Drosophila melanogaster: one gene and its partners. The protein of the gene in region 2 interacts with the protein of the main gene of each other region in a pairwise test. Each region holds a gene or a part of one and is shown on either strand. Other genes may lie near its edges.

The links. Proteins that work in one complex are often made in the same cells at the same time.
Region 1: the proteins of PPYR1 (region 2) and MtnA interact in a two-hybrid assay, tested with the Drosophila melanogaster proteins (one large-scale study listed by BioGRID).
Region 3: the proteins of PPYR1 (region 2) and Ssrp interact in a two-hybrid assay, tested with the Drosophila melanogaster proteins (one large-scale study listed by BioGRID).

What each region holds. Positions count from the first base shown.
Region 1 is NT_033777.3:9,780,716-9,786,153, reverse strand, and holds MtnA (metallothionein A), read left to right. Parts: upstream 1-1,783; 5' UTR 1,784-1,908; coding exon 1,909-1,930; intron 1,931-2,194; coding exon 2,195-2,295; 3' UTR 2,296-2,747; downstream 2,748-5,438. Other genes in the region: CG8500 (uncharacterized protein), read right to left, coding at 1-19, 77-247; CG12947 (uncharacterized protein), read right to left, coding at 3,397-3,614, 3,674-3,868, 3,927-4,457. UniProt on the Drosophila melanogaster protein: This protein binds cations of several transition elements. It is thought to be involved in detoxification processes.
Region 2 is NC_004354.4:15,240,767-15,248,388, forward strand, and holds PPYR1 (protein phosphatase Y regulator 1), read right to left. Parts: upstream 4,148-7,622; 5' UTR 4,072-4,147; coding exon 3,142-4,071; 3' UTR 3,093-3,141; downstream 1-3,092.
Region 3 is NT_033778.4:23,803,670-23,810,766, forward strand, and holds Ssrp (structure specific recognition protein), read right to left. Parts: upstream 5,336-7,097; 5' UTR 5,195-5,335; coding exon 5,141-5,194; intron 5,064-5,140; coding exon 3,492-5,063; intron 3,432-3,491; coding exon 2,886-3,431; 3' UTR 2,692-2,885; downstream 1-2,691. Other genes in the region: CG13561 (uncharacterized protein), read right to left, coding at 646-801, 863-1,027, 2,311-2,466, 2,527-2,580; CG5539 (uncharacterized protein), read left to right, coding at 1,270-2,160; CG5543 (uncharacterized protein), read left to right, coding at 5,690-7,097. UniProt on the Drosophila melanogaster protein: Component of the FACT complex, a general chromatin factor that acts to reorganize nucleosomes. The FACT complex is involved in multiple processes that require DNA as a template such as mRNA elongation, DNA replication and DNA repair.

The DNA of each region.
Region 1 (5,438 bases), on a different chromosome or scaffold from region 2:
TCTTGTTGCAGCTTATGACCTGTGCGAAGACCAGCGGATTATGTGAGTAATCTCTAGCACCAGGCGTCCCACCCACCTGTCTGTACGTATCCTCGATTGTTGGGATGTAGCTTTCGCGGAACGTGCCCTTTATGAAGCGCAGCACCAGTGAGCTCTTGCCCACGCCGCCGGCTCCAAAAACCACCACGCGGTAATCGTTGCTCTGCTCCGGTGCAGCGCGCGTCACCTGATTCTTCTGCTCCGTCATCCCGGTTACCGATACGGATTCGAGTGGGTCGAACGCGGTCGCGTATATCAAACTCGGAGTGGAAATCGGAATAGAGAGAAGCAGGAGCTGAAGCTTGTTGGCTTGCTGTCGGGCGCTGGTGGAATGTTCTACTTGGGCGCCATGCTTTCGTTTATCTGCAACAATTAAGAGCAAATCAGCTTGGCCACAACGCCCACGCACGCACAACCTTTCCGGTTCGCCAGTTGGTGGATGTGGGTGGTAGGGACGTGATGGGCGTGGGCGTGGGTGGCACTACCACTTTAGGGTCCCGCAACAAAAACAAAATGCGAAAGAAAGTTAACTTCCGAAAGCCGATGGTGATATACACTAGTAGGCATGTTAACACACTTTATTAGTTGAATTGGTTTTAAAATGTATATTCCTTTACACTAAAAAACTCTAAGAACCTTTTAAATTGATAATGAGTTGATTATATTATATATGATTCTATTATATAAACCCGCATAACTCCTTGGTTGACTTACAACTTCCTTATCAAAGTTGATAGAACTCCTTTTTAATAGTATATTTAATAACGGCAAACAATGTGTGTGAGAGTATCCCGCTAATTTTAGACATGTGGCAAGGAAGGGTATTGATTTTTCGCTCCACTGGCACTGATCGGCACCAGCCTCTCCTCATCATTATCGCCACGATTATGATTGCCCATGACCGGGTGCGGTATAAATAGGCCTGCTTTGAAGACAAGTGTCCCATTCGGAACGGTTTTCTATCCCATCCGCCCCCAAACACACACACACACACACAATACACACTAGCCGTAACTGCTCACTTCCGCTTGATTGTCCTGGTGGACCCGTGTGACACCTTTGGCCCGCCCCCTTCAACCGACTCGCCTTGCGATTTTCCGACGTTTTGTTTTCCCGCACACTCGTTGTTTTGTATGTGTTTTTTTTTCCACCTCGTACACCTCACGCGCTTTGCTCTTGGATTTTCCTCGCTTTATTTTGGCTTGGATTTATCGATTTTATCTGCACTGCACTTGCCACCCACACGCGAGAATCGAGGGAAAAGCCAGTAATGGCCACCGCATCCATATACCCGTTAATTGGGATGGCCCCAAAGGATCTGTGGGAGTCCCAACTATTGCGTAGCAGTATTTACTTGCATTTCGTTGCACTGGAATTCGTTGCAGGACAGGATGTGGTGCCCGATGTGACTAGCTCTTTGCTGCAGGCCGTCCTATCCTCTGGTTCCGATAAGAGACCCAGAACTCCGGCCCCCCACCGCCCACCGCCACCCCCATACATATGTGGTACGCAAGTAAGAGTGCCTGCGCATGCCCCATGTGCCCCACCAAGAGCTTTGCATCCCATACAAGTCCCCAAAGTGGAGAACCGAACCAATTCTTCGCGGGCAGAACAAAAGCTTCTGCACACGTCTCCACTCGAATTTGGAGCCGGCCGGCGTGTGCAAAAGAGGTGAATCGAACGAAAGACCCGTGTGTAAAGCCGCGTTTCCAAAATGTATAAAACCGAGAGCATCTGGCCAATGTGCATCAGTTGTGGTCAGCAGCAAAATCAAGTGAATCATCTCAGTGCAACTAAAGGCCTAAATAGCCCATACCTACCTTTTTTGTAAACAAGTGAACAAGTTCGAGGAAATACAACTCAATCAAGATGCCTTGCCCATGCGGAAGCGGTAAGTTCGCAGTCTGGTGTGATCCTTTAGGATATCACAGATCTTTCAGAGAAATGGTATTATACTAGTATAAAAATTCAATGGTGATTCAATAGTATAAAAATTCAAGCTGAAACTATCTGCAAAGTGAAATCTCTGAGTTCGTCTCTCTAAGAAAAGAAGTTCTTCAACTGCGTTTTATAAAATGGAACACTAATGTTATATGGCTTATGGATTACAGGATGTACCAGCATGTACTAATTTTTAAATTCTACTTCTTTCCAGGATGCAAATGCGCCAGCCAGGCCACCAAGGGATCCTGCAACTGCGGATCTGACTGCAAGTGCGGCGGCGACAAGAAATCCGCCTGCGGCTGCTCCGAGTGAGCTTTCCCCCAAAAAAGATCTGGAGTAGAGGCGCTGCATCTTGTCTCTCTACACACCCTGCAATAAATGTCCAATTAAAGTAATTGATGCCTAACTGCGTCTTTTCGGGTTGCATAATCAATTGGTCTGCGGCATTCTAGGTTAGATTCGCTTTTATTGGAGGTAGCTTCTAGCTACGTGGTCGGCAATATGCGTCGTGGAAATGGGATGGTCAAGTGTTTTCCACAATGTGCATATACATATGTACATAACACTAAAGTCAGTTGAGCAATATGGTAATCTGAGATGCCTCACTTCTGAAGCGACTGAGGGATTGAGTTTCAAAGCACAGCGGCTTGAACTCATGACTTGTAGATAAAAATACAGTTGCGGGCGTTAGAATATAGCCGCTATCGAATGGATAATATTAAAGAATACTAGCTTTAGAAATAATAAAAATATATTACCCTATCAAATTTAAAACGATTTTAGGCATAACAACGAAATGGGTAATGAAAGTTCATATTTAAATCGGCTTCCATTATTTTATAGGTGATTCATAGAAATATATGATTGTAGACTTATTATTGCTCAGTCTGTTTTGTGAAATGCCTCGTTTATAGCGCAAAAGTGCCATATAGTTTTAGATGTAATATGATCGCGCAATTAACATGAAAGTGTAAGAACCCGGCATATAAACGATATACCAACGAAATAAGTCAAGAACAAGAACCCCACGGCAGTCGGGTGAAGTGACCTAGGAGGCGTAGGGTTACGGGAGACCTCCACCTCAGACCTCCAGTGGAAAAGCCGCAGATGGAGTTTATGGTTCGTATACATACATATATACTTTATTTACTTTGCTAGCCTACGAATGCAGCTTAGGTCTAATACTAGGCTAGGTGAACAATACTTAATGGAGAATTACGAATGGATGGGGTGCGCAGTATACAAAGGTGCATACATATGTATGTCTATGAATGGTATGGGTGTGGGCATATCTTCTTTTTGGTTATCAGCGTGGCCAAACAAACCCGGGCGAGATTTCACGGCGGTTTCGAAATGGTTCTGTCGAAGGTGCTCGACGCACGTTGAAAAATAGTGGGAAATTCACGGTTCGCCCTACTTGATAACGATATTCTGTGCCAGTCGCTTCACGAAGTCCACGTTGAGAAAGTTGGCCATCAGTGTGAGCACGGACTTCTTGGGCGGCCGGCAGTGGCGCAGTCCCGCCTCCTGGCAGCACACATTCGGAAAGCAATCCAAGGTGGAGGTGCACGCCTTGGGATGAAGGTCAAAGATGGGCGGCGGCGGGGCTGTGCACTCCAGGTACTCTGTAACTGGAAAAGCGCAAGGCTTCGATTGATTTCGGTTATCATACGGAAAACTTTTAACTTACGATAGTCGAAGGATCGCTTCACTGGCACTGGAGCTGTTTCCAACTCCGGCTGCGAGGTGCGGCAGTATCTCCTACGCCCATCCGGGCAACAGACCCTTGGCCAGCAGTCCATGTCTGTGGAGCACTCCTGGACGTCCCACCAGAGCTCGGCGAGCGGTCTACTCGGGCACTTGCGAGGTATCAAGCCCAGAATGGCTAGCAAGAGCAATAAATTGAATAATATCTATAGCAGCTAAGGATTAAACCCACTTACGAGCATGTGGAGTCTCCTCTAGCGGCTTTGGAACGCCAGAGACACAGCTGCTTGCTCCAAAGATATCACAGCACAGCTCATCCCGTTGCCACACGGCACAGTCTCGATCCGCCTTGCAGATCTTGGGGAATAGCTGGAACCTCACCTCGTTCTCCCGCGGACAATCGAACCTCAAGCGCAGCTCGGCAGCCGACCTCTTGCCCTTCTCCGTTTCCCTATCCCTGTTCTTATCCTGGTTGTCGCGTGGGAAGTTCAAGGTGGGCAGTGCAATGCGAAAGGGTCCATCTGTAGTGGGTTTTTGTGTGCTAGTTGTTGTTGCGCTTCGACTAGTTGTACTCGTTCTCTGATCCATCGGTTTCCTAGTGGTCTTGGCCACTTTTCGTTGGCCGGACTTTTCGTCCTTGGGACTAAACTTTTTCGGCGGATGGGCCTGCTTGGTGGGCGGACGCACTGCCACCAGACTCTGCTGGCCGAAACTCCAGAAGTTCCGATTAAAGAAGTTGAAGCCGTTGGCCAGGCTGGGACGCGGAGCTGGGGATTGGATGTGGAAAGCGGGTTTACCAGTGTGCTTAATGACCATTAGTGTTTCTGCTCCAAATAGCAGACATTACACGTCAAGTAAAGCGCAGTTCCCGCCGCTCATGAAGAGCGTTTGATTTGGCTTTTTTGTTTTTTTTTTTTGTTTTATACTTCTGTTTCGTTATTAAGCCAGGCCAACAATGGATCAGCAATAGCGCAGCCTGTTGGCAAACGTTTCCCACCCACTCCATGCGCTCCATAGACCCAACGCAATTGTCTACTTGGCTGCTTGCAACAGCAGGTGGACGCAAGTGAATCACCCGCGAAAACGGCCATACTACCCAGATCATTACTCCCTATGTTAACGAGATCTTCTTCGAGAGCAATTTGATGGTATATACTTAAAATTTCCAGCTCATAAAAGTAGCTAATGGAGAAGTAGCTTAAATTTAATTTAATTTTAGACCCTCCCCGACCGAAAATGGGGTGGAATTCTATAGCCGAGTGATCATGATCACGATCATGCAAATTGGCAAAGGCCTAGGCCCCAATAATTCGTGGCCTTGCATACGCCTCTCCAGTTCGGACTTAGCCAAGGTCTCCTGATGCAGCCGAAGCCGATTCGAAAGCTCCGGTGCTCCAGTTACCTATGCACCTATGGCTAACTACGTTAACGAATCCCAAACGGGTATATCTGGTTTTATTCACAATTTGTCAGAATAATGAAACCTGTGAATCCAAGGCGAAACTATTTATCTGCAGTTTTGCAATTAATCTTGCATTTACTTTTGATTGTCCAAGTAGCTTAATGGATAAGCGATCTTAACCAGGATTGGCACCTCAGCTTAGTTCTGATGCTAGAAACTTTGAAGTGATCAGATATAAATATATATAGGTAGCTAGATTTCTAGATCCTAAACTAACTCATTTATGCAAAGGGTATTCCACCATCGGTACACTTTGAGTGACCTTTTCCCAGACAACTTCTTTGTC
Region 2 (7,622 bases):
TGTCCTGGGCGTCGACTCGGCAGGCAGCAGGCTGGCAGCTGGTGTAACTCAAATTGTGAATGGTGTTGATGTCCCCGCACCCAGAAGCTTTACGCCACCACTTTTCCACCGCCTTTCTCGCTTTTCCGGAGTAACTTTTATGGCCTGTGTGCGGCTGTATGTTGGTGTCTGTGTATTTGTGTGTGAGTGTGGCTTGACAATGTGATTTACATTTAATTAAAATCGTATTTACTCGTTAGATAAACAAACACAGGACTCGGGGCACCCTCTGCACCGCTCTGTCGCATCATTAGGCACTCGGAGCGCTCGAATTGCCAAGTGGCATTGGGAAATGGCGCCGGGAAATGGGAAATCGTCGGTGGAGAGTGGGCGGTTCTTGGGAAATTCGGCTGCAAGCCAAGTCTCAGGTGTTGGCCTGCCACTTCGATGTCAGCCTTGTGTTGACGTTGACAGGGCGACATGTCAAAAATAACTCGGTGCCATCGATCGCCGAAGGCGAACCAAAAATAAACAACTCTATCTTATGGCCAAAAATAAGAAATAAGACAGGGGGGAAATGAAAAGTCTCTAGAGGCCTTTAACACAAAGCTCAGATTTTGCCAATAAGGGAACGTTAAGGTAATAGAAACATATTTATAGATCAAAAATTTAAACTCATTTTCTACAGCAAGGTTTCGCAGAAGCTCTATAAATTTTCTTGCGGCTTTCCCACATTTATTGCTAACATAGCTACTCTTTCATTCGTTTATCGCAAATTGCAATTGTAAAAACATATATATATAGTTGAAAGCAATTGTTTTTGCTGGCCATTCGAGACCAAACCAAATTGTCAATCGATGCTGACTTGGACATTAATTGCAGGAAGTGCTCTGTGCAGCTTTAGCCTTTTAAAGAAACCTCCAATCATGTTGCATTCAACAGCACAAGTTCTCCTCCTTCTACCATCAAACCATGACCACTCCAATCCGCCCGCTCCGAACCCCACCCTCATCCCCATTCATTGCCCATTCTTTTCCGCCTCTTGTTTTGACTTGATGACCAAGTTAAACAAACACACGCCACACAAACATGACCCGGCGCTCCGGCAATCGGAATGGGATTCAAACTGGAATTGGGACTCGGACTGGGACTCGAACTGGGAGTGGGAATGGGATTGGGAATGGGTGGCTTTGCTGCAGCCGTGTCCAATTTGCATGGCCATTGTGAGCTGGGCAGGAAGTGGGGGGAATTCGCCGCCTTCTCCGGAATTCCCAGTCATGCCCTCCGTTGAGAAGTGGGTGGTTCAAAAGTGGGCGAGAGGGCGAGTGGTCGAGTGGGCATGGGCAGCACATTTCCGGCATTTATCAATGGTAATTTCTCGTGTCAGCTTTGAAATAATTTCAGTTGACGGAAACGAGACTATTCAAGTGTGACCAAATGCACACAAAAATTATGCCACAATTACCATTTTGTTCTTTGGATGCCATTGTGTACGATTTTCATATCGCTTTTGAAGCGGGCATTTAAATTCTGCTGATAAGTTTGCGGTTTCCCTTGGCCAATATTTAATTAAAATGATCTGCACGCTATTCAGCAAATTAGTTTTTATATATTTAAATGACAGCTTATTGAGGGATAAACTTGCAAAATAGTTTGTGCAACGCATAGCGATGTTTGTGGCTTGATATTTAATTATATTATAATTATTTTTATTTTTTTTTTTTTAATGATTATTAATGAAGCTCAGTTGTACGTGAAAAGAAAAACATTGTAAAGTAAATTGTTGGTCATTATTGATACAGAGCAGATGAGGTTATAATAGCATGATTTGTATATTAAAAATAATGTTAAATAACCCTTCTTGAACATTAATATTCATGAGTATTTGTAGTGGCCAACCCGAACTCAACTTCTTGCTGCCTAATCGATTTTCCCCCGATTTTTCTCCACTTTGACTCCGATTTTCGGGCAGGCGGACGTAAAAGGGGGCGTGATAAGGGGCAGCTTGTAAAACAATGACAAGGACAAATTCGTGCGATAGGCAAACAGCAAACAGCATGGAAGGCACTGTTGGCACGGGATTTTTTTTTTTTTTTTTTGGGAAAGGGGGGGCTCCAAGTGTCAATACAAATATAAATCAATGTTCGGGGAATCAGTTGGAAGAGGCATGGTTAGCGGGACGAGCAGGAAAAGCGGAAAAGCTGGAAAAAGGTAACATGCCTAAGCAGTTTGTGCTTTTGTTGTTTTTTTTTTTTTTTTGTTTTGCCCTCCTTTTGCTGGCAATCAATTTTAACAAGCACCCAGTTTTCCGAGATCTGCTCGGCTTACTGGGCATCTTGCTCCTAATTGGTTGCCAGTTATAGAATACGTAAAACGTGCGACACAAATTCAAGTTCAATGGAATTCTACGGGAATTCTACCTTTCAGAGTGGAAATGAACTAAGGGAGAAGAAAATAGGAAACACAGAGATTTTCATTAGTGGAAAACCCACAGTGGAACTAAGAACCTTTCTAGAATTTCATTTAATTTGCAGTTCCGCAGATAGTTTTGGTTGCTCTTGCTCTCCCTTTCGCTCACTATTGCCGGCTCTTTCTGGGCCGTGTGAGTTGTGTAATTCGTGCAAGCGAGAGGGCGATAGAGTTTGTGATAGGGAGAGGGGGACAGAGAATAGGCCGCGCAAAAAAGTTGGCAGACTTATTTTTTCCCCCATTTTTGCACTCTAAAGTTCCTTATACTCCCACAGTTTTGTGCTTTTGTTTTTGTTTCGCTAGAATTTGTTCAATTTAATGTAACATGAAGGAGAAGGCACAAAAACCAGAAACAGGGCGGCGAACTTGGGGGTGGGCGTGAGAAACAGGCGGAAACACAACATGGAAAACTGAAAAGTTTGCGGTGACGCCGGAAAATTCCATCAAAACTGTGGGAAACAGCCTTAAAATGACTTTAAGGGTTTCCCAATTATTTGGAAGGCCCTGAAAAAATAAGGAAAATTGTTCAGATCACTAAAAGCTTGATAAACTAATATAAAATTTTTATTTGATTATGTTTTTATATGTATTTATGATTTATATATATCCTAAAGAACGTAGAAATTATTCAAAATACATGTATTATTTAATTTTGAACGATTTAATACTATGTAACACGCAAACGCAAGCAAATTAAATGAATTTTAAGCGATAAGGAATAACACCTTGATCAGTGTTGAAATTTAACAGAATATCAACAACGTACAACGGGCGGTCAGCGGTTAATTCTTCGCCATCGTCTTCCAGCTCTCCTGATCCTCCTAATCCTCCAGATCCCTCAGTTCCTCCAGATCCTCCAGATGCGTCAGGTACTCCAGATGCTGCGGCTGTTTCTGTTTCTCCAGATCCAGCAGACCTCTCCCCTGTTTCAGTATTTCCTGTTTGTTCAGTTCCTCCTGTTTTGTCCAATCCTTTGGTGTCGTCTGTGTCTCCTGATCCCTCGGCTCGTACAGTTTCTTCAGAACCCCCTGTTACTTCTTTCTTTGTACCGAAATCAGACATTATAAACTTATTCAAAACCTGCTTTTTCTGCGCCTGCATGGCACGCCACTCGTCGAGTGTATATTGTTCGGTCTCCTCCGATGAATCGTACTCGTAGACGAAACTCGATACCTTTGGTAACTTCATCCCTTCGAAGGTGCGCAAATTGGTCCTCTGACGCAAGTCGATCTCCTGCTGGATGGATCCCCAGTTGTGGGCCCCGGCTCCATTGCGTTTTTCCACCGCCTTTACGCCAGTGCGTTTCGATCCGGAACGGCGATCAAAGAGTCGGTCACCAGGACGATTGCGTCTGGTTTTGCAAAGTTTGTTTTTCGGTACTGTAACGAATACTGACTCTACTTCCTTCTCAAGAGGATCTGCCACCTTGATGTCCTTCACCCGTTCCTTTTTGGGTGCAGTCAATGGAGTGGTCAAAGTAATCTTGTTCTCCACCTTTGGCTGAAATAGACGTGCTGCCTTCTGTGGTTTCTGCGACATCTTGGGAACGGCCACCATTGATGACTTCTTCTGTGACTTCTTCATCTTGGGATCCTTGGTGAGGGCTACGAGTGGTACGTTCATACTGTCGTCGAAGGTGCAACGATTGTTAAAGCTCGAATTTAAGTAAAAATCAGATATATAATTTATTATATAATCGGAGCTCTGAAGGCGAGCGAGTTTGGAGCTGAACTGAATGAGAAACGGAATGAGCCTGGCAGCTGATCGACTGGGCAACTAAGTTTTCCCAAAAACGGTTTAAGATTGACTCAGCAAATATAAGCCAGAAGTTACAGTTGCTCAGTTTTTGTTTGATAAGTTTGATAAGATCATAATATATATTCATATAACTCAATTAATATATGCTTTGCATATGTTTAATGGAGGCTTTTGAAATGCATTATGTTATGTACTTCTTGTGCATTGGTACATAAATACTGAGTTGATATATATGGACATCATAATTTTTTCAAATTCCAATAAAAGGCTACTCAAGGAATTTCGTTATAAAATATTTGTATTTTTCATAACATTCAATTACGTGTCTCTAGTGTTCGCAACCCCTCATTTATTTCGAAAAGTTATATATATGATTGCCATGGAGTTGCTAGGATATTCATTTAAGCGTTCAGTTACCAGCGCAATTTTCCGGCATTATTATTTATAACTTTATACGCTCGCCGAGTGCTTCGTTCTACCCACTCCGTTCATTTCATTTGGCTTCCCGTTCCTGTGGCTCCCTTGTGTCTCTGTGGAGTGGCCAAAAGTCCAGTGGCCAAGAGTCCAGTGGTCGAGGGGTCGGTCCATGGTCTTGGCCATCAAGTTCTGTGTTTTGTCATAAGTCATGTGTCTGCTCGTCCTCGTTGTGTGTTGCTTCTGTTTTTCCAGCACAAAGTTGTGTACTTATGAAAATTAGTTTCTGCTCTGCTCTGCTACTATTTTTCATAATTAAAGTGCAAATAAAAAACTAAGCTGGCGAACAAACAATTGCAATTAACTCTTGTTGTTGCTGTGGCCCCCCTGTTGATGTAGTTATTCGCATTTATTTGCGAGATTCGTGTTTTTCTACCGCCCCATTTTTGCTCTCGTTTTTTTTTTTTATGTATATATTCGCCTCTGCCGCTGCTGTGCAAAAACATAATTCACTTTTTATTATCTCATATTTTATAGAAAGTTCCAGGAAAATATGGGTGGGTGTATATCAGCCATATATATATATATATATATATATGTGCATGCACATATACACGCATATACACTGGGGTGTATACATAATGCAGGGGCTGTAAGCCTCTCTGTGTGTCGTTTAATTCATTTAGTTTATGCTTTTAGCGCTTTATTTGCTTAACTGCAGTTTGCATGTGTGCTTAAGTGTGCGTGTGTGCGTATGTGTGCGTGAGCATAATTGCAGCACACACGCACATATACAGATGCACTGGATTTTGCAATTACTCCGCTTGACAAACAGCGGCAGCAACAAGAACAACAACAACAGCAAGGAGTCGCAGCAGAACAGTGAAATTAATCAAAATATGAACAATTCGAGCCGCTACCCTGAAAAACCGCTCGGAAAATACCCACTCCACTCGTGGCAGTGGAAAACCGCAGATGCTGCCATTGACAACGCATCGCTGCATTTCACATTTCACATTTTGCATTTCGCATTCCGGGGCATCCTTTCGCCTGTTTGCCAAATATCAGCAAATTTTGCGTTTAAGCCAAGTGCAAACATTTTAGCAAACGGCGAGCAAACAACAAAAGACGGCAGGCACAGCCGCCTTTCCATTCCATTCAATCGATTGCCCCTAATGAAAGCCACTCAACAGTCGCTCGAACAACAAAATCAGCAGCCAAAATCAACAGCACACGACATTTTCCAAGTATTTGGGCATTTAGTGTGCATTTTGTTTTAATTAAAAATTAAGCCGCAATGTGGAATTCGAGCGGCAGTTGCTTGTTGTTCGGTTTCGAAACTCCAAACATTTAGTTTGAATCAAAATAATAGAAGCCTCGCTTTGGCTTTTCATATGCCAATTTACAATCATATATTAATTTTAACAAATATTTTCAATAAAGTTAAATTGTTTTGGTTTCAATTCAAAATTAGTCCACAATGAGAAATTCGAGCGGAAGAAACTTGCTTTGTTTTCACTTATCCTTACACTTATTTTGCAGACGGTTTTGCGCAAACTTTGAACGGGATGCAAAACATTAAATATAAATAAAAACGCCATAACTATTTTAAAATTTTGTGTCCATTTAGTTCTAATGGAAATGAAAACGGGGGAGAATAACAGAAATTTGTGCAAACTTTGTTGTTTATTTTGCCTAATTAACTATTTTGTACAATTTTTTTATTTGTTTTTTTTTTCTTTCCAATTCTAGAACACATCAATATATATATATACTTTGAGCACGTACTCTATGTTTTAAACATTACAACTTGTCTTTCTGTGTATTACTTTCATTCCAGCTATTTTCCGCATATAAAGAGAACTTTTTGTTGAGAGAAAAAAAATTAAAAGTGATGATGTACCAAGTTTGTTCTTTTTCTGGAAGCGATAAAAATTAAAACCCAGGCAAGTAACAATCGTAATTGTTACAGCTGCTCGGGCAACTTTTTTGTGGGCTTCTATTTTCCTATTTTATTTTAATTTTTATTGAGCGTCTGGCTTCGTACTCCTAAACGTATACGCAATTTCTTTTATGAGCCATTCCGAATGTGCGTTTGTGTGTGTGTGTGTGTGTATTTGTGTGTGTGTGAGAGCTTTGGTGTACATTTTGTTCTTTTCTTTTTTTTTTGTCTTGGGATGAGTGGCTTTCATTTGTGCCCCTCTAGGTCCAAAGCCAAATTTCGCCATTTTCTTCGACTTCGCTTTTCGATTTGCCATTTCGAATTCACTTCATTGAATTGTTAATTTTATCGCTCACCGGAGAACATACACATACATTCGACATTCGACGGGGGGCCATTGCATAACTTTGATTTTCCTGCTCGTTCTTTATTGTCATTGCCCCTGCCAGTGGTTTGTATTTGTGGTTATTACACAGTCGGTTCTGGCCCTTTTCCTCCACATCCATACCCGTATCATTTGCTCATATTAAATTTTATTGCTCGCGGTATTCGCTCATAAACATTTTGTCTTCCATCCACCCTCGCATCCATGAGTTTAATCAAACGGCGGCGAGGTGAGCGCGTAATGTTTGCGGCAGGACGATGAGGAGCCCACCTCCACACGGCTTATATTGGCTGGAATGGCACGGTATGGTATGGTATGGTATGGCATAATATGGTATGGGATGGCATGGTCTGGTTTTTGGCTTATTGCTCGGGGTCCTGGCACTGAACTGGCCAGCAAATTGCGGCGATATTACACACAAGTGCGCTGGGATTGGCAGGGCACAAAGTGGGCTGCCGGCCAGTCGTCCTGGCCACTGGACTGTCCTCGTCTAGGCGGCGAAGAAGCTGGACCGGAATAAGAGTCAACTGACAGCAGCTCGCCGCTAAGCAGCAGCGGATAATACTGCCGAAAATACCCTACAGCTTACCAAAATATTTTCTAAGAATATTTTCATTTAAGAATTATATTCTTTAATCAATACATTTAAAAATATCTATTACTATTTCTAGCAAA
Region 3 (7,097 bases), on a different chromosome or scaffold from region 2:
GCCACTTGAATTGAAGTTCAAGTTTTCGCAATTGACCCACAAATTAATTATGCATGCATGCTGGTAATTGTGAATTTGCCTTTTACAATCGCACACGTAATGCCTCTGCGTTATTTCCGTCAACATTTCATTTATTAGACGCAATTACAATTGATTTGGGTTTCGGTTTCGGTTTCGGTTTCAATAGCTGAGATTTCTGTGAATGGGAATGGTATGGGAACCTTTTCTTGATGGCTTTTTGAATGCCTGCCTAACTGAAATGTCATGAACGAGCGTTCGGCTTTGGACAGGGTCAAGACTTTTTGGCTCATTGTGCGAAAGAAATTTCGACCGAAAACCGATCTGAATCAGAAGCCAATGCTCCTAACCTTGGATTGGCCGAAAATTATCCGAATGAGCCATGTTTTTCAGTGAAATCGGTTCGCGTTCCCACGTGTCAGAACCATTTACATATTACACTCAAATGAAATGCACGCATTAATAATTTTAATTAAAATCCGTTTATTGCAATTACAAAGGGATAATCAAATCGGAGAGCTCTTTTACGGGCAGTTAACAAATTTATGGCAAATTTATTAATTGGTTTATTGCACCGCGTCTGATGTTTATAACAAATACTCGATGCGACTCGTGATTTGTGTGCCTTTAGCGATACTCTGTTAATGTGAAGTACACCTTAACCTGGGCCAACTCCGATCGGTGGAAAGTGAAGGTGGTGAAGAGTCCGTAGTCCCCGAAGGGCAGGGGCATCATGTCCAGAACCTTGACGGGAAACCGAAAGTGCTCCAACACTATTTCCGGCTGTAATCGATAGAAGAACTGAAGTAAACATCATAATCAATCATTTCTTAGGCAAACTCACTGGAATCGGACACTTGTTCACATTGGTTCTGTTCCCGAAACTGCTCAGGATGATGTTAATGAAGGGATGATTCCGCTTCTCCAGATACTCGCACACATCCGACTGGCAGATATTGTAGAGAAAGGGCTTATAGCCACTGGCCTTCTTCAGCAGCTGCATGCGCATCTGAAGGAGAAACATATTGGTATTACACTAAGGTGTTGGTGCTATACGCCAGCAGGCTGTGCTTTACACTTTACACACAACTGGCTGTAGAATATCGCCACACTTTTAAACAAACAGTTAGATACACAGGCACATCGATCTTAAACTGCCAATTTCGATTATAGCCCATGCATTAAATTCGGAATTTTCCAAAAGAAGAACACTTATTCTGGCAGTCCTAGTATCCACCGTATATTTTAGATATGTGTTTCTTTGGCCTTGTTTCGCAGTTCCTGTTCTTCGTTTACGGCACCATGGGACCGGCCTGGCAAACCTATAAGACTCTGAACAGCGGAGACGAGGAGTTCCTGGCCTGGGCCAAATACTGGATAGTTTACGCCTTCCTGGTCACCTTCGAGGTGCTGGCGGACGTCTTCCTCTCCTGGCTGCCGCTCTACATGCCCACCAAGTTGCTCCTGGTCGTGTGGATCGTGCTGTCCGCTCCGGCCGCCAATGTCTGGATATTCGACGCCATCCTGCGTCCGGTGCTGGCAAAGCGGCAGGAGGAGATCGATCACTTCCTGCACCGGGGCAAGGAGAAGCTCCTGATCGACGCCCTCGCTTCGATGACACAGCTGGTGGCACAGACCCAAATCTCTGTACTGCCTTTCGTGTCCAGCTTCTGGTCGAGATCGAGCACTGCTCCCCTTAGGACTTCCGATCTGTTGCAGGACTCCACTGGAGAAGGAATTGGAGGCAGAACTTCCGAGGATACTGACTCGGCCAACGTCTCTGTCCAAAATCTGTCCAGTGGTTCCAGTCCCGTTGGCAGCTTAGAGCACCTCCGTGACGACTCTGAGGAGCTTCTGGTGGGCGTTTCGAAGGCCACCACGCACCTGCAGGCGGAGCAGTTCCAGAGCGACGTGTCGTCGGAATCACCCAGGATAATTAATCGCCGACCTCAGCGCAAGTTCAAGAATGCCATTGCTATTGCCTCCGCCACCAAGCTGGAGGACCTCCATGACGATGTGGAGGATCTGCTGGCCAAGACGGCGATGGAGACCAGCGGCCAGGAAGTGCGTCAGCAGCGTCAACCGGCCAGCCGTCGCCGTCTTTTAGCACAATCATTTGTGAAACCTCAAACAGGTTTATAGTTATTTCATTAATTCAAAACATAAATTGGTTTTAGGCATGGATAGGTTTCAAGTTGTTTAATTACTAGTGTTTTGGACTCGCATTTTCTACTATAGATAGCTATTCAACTATGGCATTCAGGAACGCCCTAGCTTTGCAAACTAACTCACCGATACCGGACCTTTTGGCCATCGCAGGATGTTGGCCCGCAGACTCATTTCGACGACATCCCTCTTTACGGCGTACAATCGGCACAGGGAAACGGTGGTGAAGTTTTCGTCCGCACTCAGGCACTCGATGTTTGTGAACTTGGCAACTCCTTGGACCTGAAGTGAGCTAGTGTTCGGTTCATAATCCCAGCCGGCCTAGCTTACGGTCGAACTTGCCTGCAAAATGTGCCACAGCCCAAACAAGAGGAATAACTCTGTCAACGTGGCCATCACTAAGTTCACCAAAGAGCCATTAAAAACTGGCAAACTGTGGCATTATAATGTTGACGAAAGTGGCAAAAGCCAGTCAAGCGAAACCATAATCGATAGATATCAATCATTACGGGCAATTATCAATTCTGTTTAATTACTTGAACTTTCGAATTGTTGTTGAGTTTTAATTAAACAAAAACGTATGGGTCTGTATCCAACAGGCAGCACTTAACTAAACTAGGCGAATGTAAACTAGATTTGGGACATGGGTGTGTGAGGAGCGTGGTGTGTGTTTATGGAATTGATTTGTTGTGTTTATGGCCCTAATCACTGGCCTCATCTTCCTCATCCTCATCGCTGGCATTGCTGTCCTCCTCGCTCTCCTCCGGTTCGCTCTCGCTCTTGGCCTTTTTCTTCTTGGCATCGCCGTCGGATGGGGGCTTGCTCTTCTTCTTGGCAGGCTCGTTGTCCTTCTCGTCGTCGGAGCTGGTGGAGTCGTCGTCCGAAATGTACTCCTTGCTCTTGAAGCCGCTGCCCGAGGTATTCGCCTTCTTGGATGGAGAAGGCTCCGTCTTGCGCTTCTTGGAGGACTTTCCACCCTTCTCGTTGTCGCTGTCACCGCCCGCTTCAGGCTTGTAGTTGCGCATCTCGTCGTGGTAGCGCTGCTTGTCCTTGGCCGCCGCATCCTCCCACTTGGACTTGTCCTTCAGCTCCTTCCACATCTCGCCGCCCTTCTTGGCGATCTCGGTAACCTTTATGCCCGGATTTTCCCTCTTGATGCTCTCGCGCGTGTCGTTCAGCCAGAGCATGAAAGCGGTGGTGGCGCGCTTGGGTTTGCCAGAGTCCTTCTTCTTCTTGGAGGGTTTCTTCTATAAAAACATATAAAAACATGTTACCATAAGCTATAATAATAAGCAAACATTACTCACTGTTCTCTCCTTCTCCTTGTGTTTTTTCTCCTTTTTCTCTTTCTTCTCGGACTTCTTCTCCTTCTTTTTCTTGGCGCCGTCGCTGTCGCCTCCGCCGCCACTAGCATCGCTGTCATCGTCCGAATCACTCTCCACGTTGCTGTCATACTCCTCGGCCACATCGGACTCGTTCTCGTTGGGCTTGAAGTCCTCATCCGTGGACTCTTCATCCGAGTCGCCATCGTCGTCGTCCTCCTCCTTTTCCCTCGCCTCAGCCTTGAGGCGAGCCAGATAGGCATCTGGTTCGTTCTCGTTGTCCGAATCACCAAAGTCCACGTCCTTGTAGCCGCTCTTGTCCTTGCCCATGTTGCTGACATGCAACTTCTTCTGTGTGATGTAGTCGAAGAGCTTGGCATACTCCTCCTTCTCGATGGAGGAGAAGATGTGAACAGTTCCGTTCTTGAGCGTCACTTCGAAGTCGAAAGATCGCGTGGATCCGCCGCTGCGGGCAAAGTTCACAGAACTAATCTCCTCAAAGCGGATATGCAGCGGTGGCTTGTGGATATAGATGAATCCTCGCTCCAGGGGATACAGATATCCAGCTGCAGCCTTGAACGAGCAGCCCACTGCAGCCGTGCCAGAGTGTCCGATAAAGTTACCGGGTCCGGTAATTTTTCGACCGATCAGCACCTTCATCACTTTGCCCATCACCTCGTACACCGGCCCGGAGATCTCTTTCTCCAGCTTGCCCTCGTACTTGTCTCGCAACTCGGCTTCCGAGAATGGCAGCTCAATGGTGGTCTCCTCATCGGGAGCAAACAGCAGGACCAGGTAGTGGTAACGCGTTTGTCCCTGCTTGATGGGCGGATCCAAGGAGAGCACAAAGAACATCTGTCGACTGTCTTTGTGGGGCAGCATGAAGAGCCGCAGCACCGAGTCCATGGGAATCTTGTAGTCGAACGTCTTGCCGTGCAGCTGGAAGAAGGTCGAGAAGATCTTGATGTCATAGCGACCGCGAGGCGTGAGGATCTGGATCTCTCTGAAAATGGCGATGGACTCGCCCGAAGCCGAGATGACCGAGGCCTTGCTCATTACGTTCTGGTGGAACTTGTCTACCGGATCCTCCTCGGCCGACTCCACGGCGGGTATGTGGAACCGCATCTCCAGTAGACCCACGGGCGCATCGTCGTTTTGGTGGAACTCCAGGGTGACCTCGTTCTTGCCGGTCACGCACTGCGAAACGTGCGACAGCGGCACCTCGAAGATGGTCTTCGACTCCTTGTCGAAGCTCAGGACGGAGCCCATGAAGCGGGCGGTGCCCCAGTTCCAGCCCTTGACGCACATCTCCTTCTCGACCATCTCCTGCGAGTAGGCAGCCTTGATAAACTTGCCCAGCTTCTCGTGCTCGCTGTCGCGGAATCCGGTGAAGCGGTGGAGCACGCCGCCTTTGGTGAACACCCTCAGTCCCCAGGTGCCCACGAACTTCTGCGAATTGATCAGGTCTATGTCCTCTGCCGAGATCTGCTCCACCTTGCCGGTCTTGGTGTTCTTGAAGATGATGTTCTGCTCGGTCATCTTTAGGCGTCCGGAACACTTTTTTGCGCGCAGGGAAATGGAAAACCTCGGTCATGCGAAATGTGACAAAATACGCCGGCTTTTTTGCGACTCACCAAGACTCCGCGCACTTCGGCGTTTATGTCGTTGTACTCCAGAGAGTCTGTCATCCTGCACTTCTTCCTCTCCAGTAACAAGATAATAGATCAACTATGTATTACGCCGCCTTGCGAAATTGTCACCAATTTACAATAATTCCGGCAGACACAAAACAACACTGCGCGCCTAATTTTAGGTTAGACGCCAGTCAGCTATATTAGAGTGACCGTATGTGTGTTTAGTATTTTTGAGTGCACTATTCTTAAATTGCAATCGATATAAACTCTTAATATTCCAATGCAGTTTCCTTTATTGTTTATATATATCTTGTTTGCAATACATGAACAATATATGAGTCATTATTAAATTGAAAAATTTTAATGGGCAAGCCAGAGCTTATTTAAAGACCATAACAATTCGCTCGATCTTTTAAAATACCAAATTGACAGTCCGAATATAAACGGTCACTTAATTCACTTGTTTACAAAATATTTACCGCATATTTTCAGAGAAATATAGTTTTAATTAAAAATTTGAAAATCCACTTAGCGTGGGGCCTTAAAACTATGCAACGCGGTAAAATTTCCTTCGGGAAAATCAAACTGAATGTAAACGTACCTCCTGCGGAGCCAAGATCCAACGAAACCGAGGCGGAAGATGCAAAGGAGTCCACTGAAGCCAGCGGAAATGGCGGAGGATTCAAGAAAATGGACAAGGAGCAGATGATTCGGCAGATCGAGGACGTGGCCGAAGATCTGGAGAGCCAGCACCTCAAGGAAGTGATGGGCATCAGTGGCTTTGGTCGCAAGGCGGCCAAGGTGTTCGACATCAACGAGCAGATAGAAAAGGCGAGAGTTACCCGCCCGGGAATGGACAAAAAAAGGGAGGAGTCCAAGCCGAAGGAGGATGACCAGAAAGACGAGGAAGAGGAGGACGTAATAGGTCCCCTACCACCAGCTGTGACCACAGACAAGGAGAAAGCCACGAAGGAATCGTCCAAAGACGAAGACTCCGATGACGATGATTATTCGTCCGATGAAGATTCAGATGACGAACAAAGCCTTGCTAAGCGCATACCCTACACACACGAGGTGCAGATGCAGCACGGTTCCCGCGCTGTCCTTGCCCTGGCTGGCGATCCCTCGGGTGCCCGCTTGGTCTCTGGTTCCATAGACTACGATATGTGCTTCTGGGATTTCGCCGGCATGGACTCGAGCATGCGTAGCTTCCGGCAACTGCAGCCGTGCGAGAACCATCCCATACGTTCTCTCCAGTACTCCGTGACCGGCGACATGATCCTGGTCATCTCCGGAAACGCCCAGGCCAAGGTCCTCGACCGCGATGGATTCGAGAAACTGGAGTGCTGCAAGGGCGACCAGTATATCTCGGACATGTCGCGCACCAAGGGCCACGTGGCACAGTTGACCTCCGGCTGCTGGCATCCATTTAACAGGGAGCAGTTCCTGACCGCAGCTCTCGACGGTACTCTGCGCATCTGGCAGGGATTGAAGTCCAAGGAACAGTTGCAGGTGATCAAGACAAGGGCGCAGGGAGGCCTCCGCACCAACGCAGCATCATGCAACTTTAACAGGGACGCCACACTCATAGCAGCGGGCTGCGTGGATGGTTCCATTCAGACGTGGGACACGCGCAAGATGTTTGTGAACACCACGCACTGCGTCAGGGATGCGCATCAGAAGGGTTCGGAGATCACCTCCATTGTGTTCTCGTACATGGGTCAGCAGTTGGCCACTCGCAGCAACGACGAGACCATGAAGCTTTGGGATCTGCGGCAGTTCAAACAGCCGCTGCATACCTGGACAAACCTGTTCTCCCGCTACGACACAACAGATTGCTGCTTTAGTCCAGATGACCGTCTGCTAGTCACCGGAGAATCGCTTCCGAAGGGCCAGGCCGAAGCGAACCTGTATTTCTACAGCACTAAGAGCTACGAGGAAGTGCAGCGGATTCCCG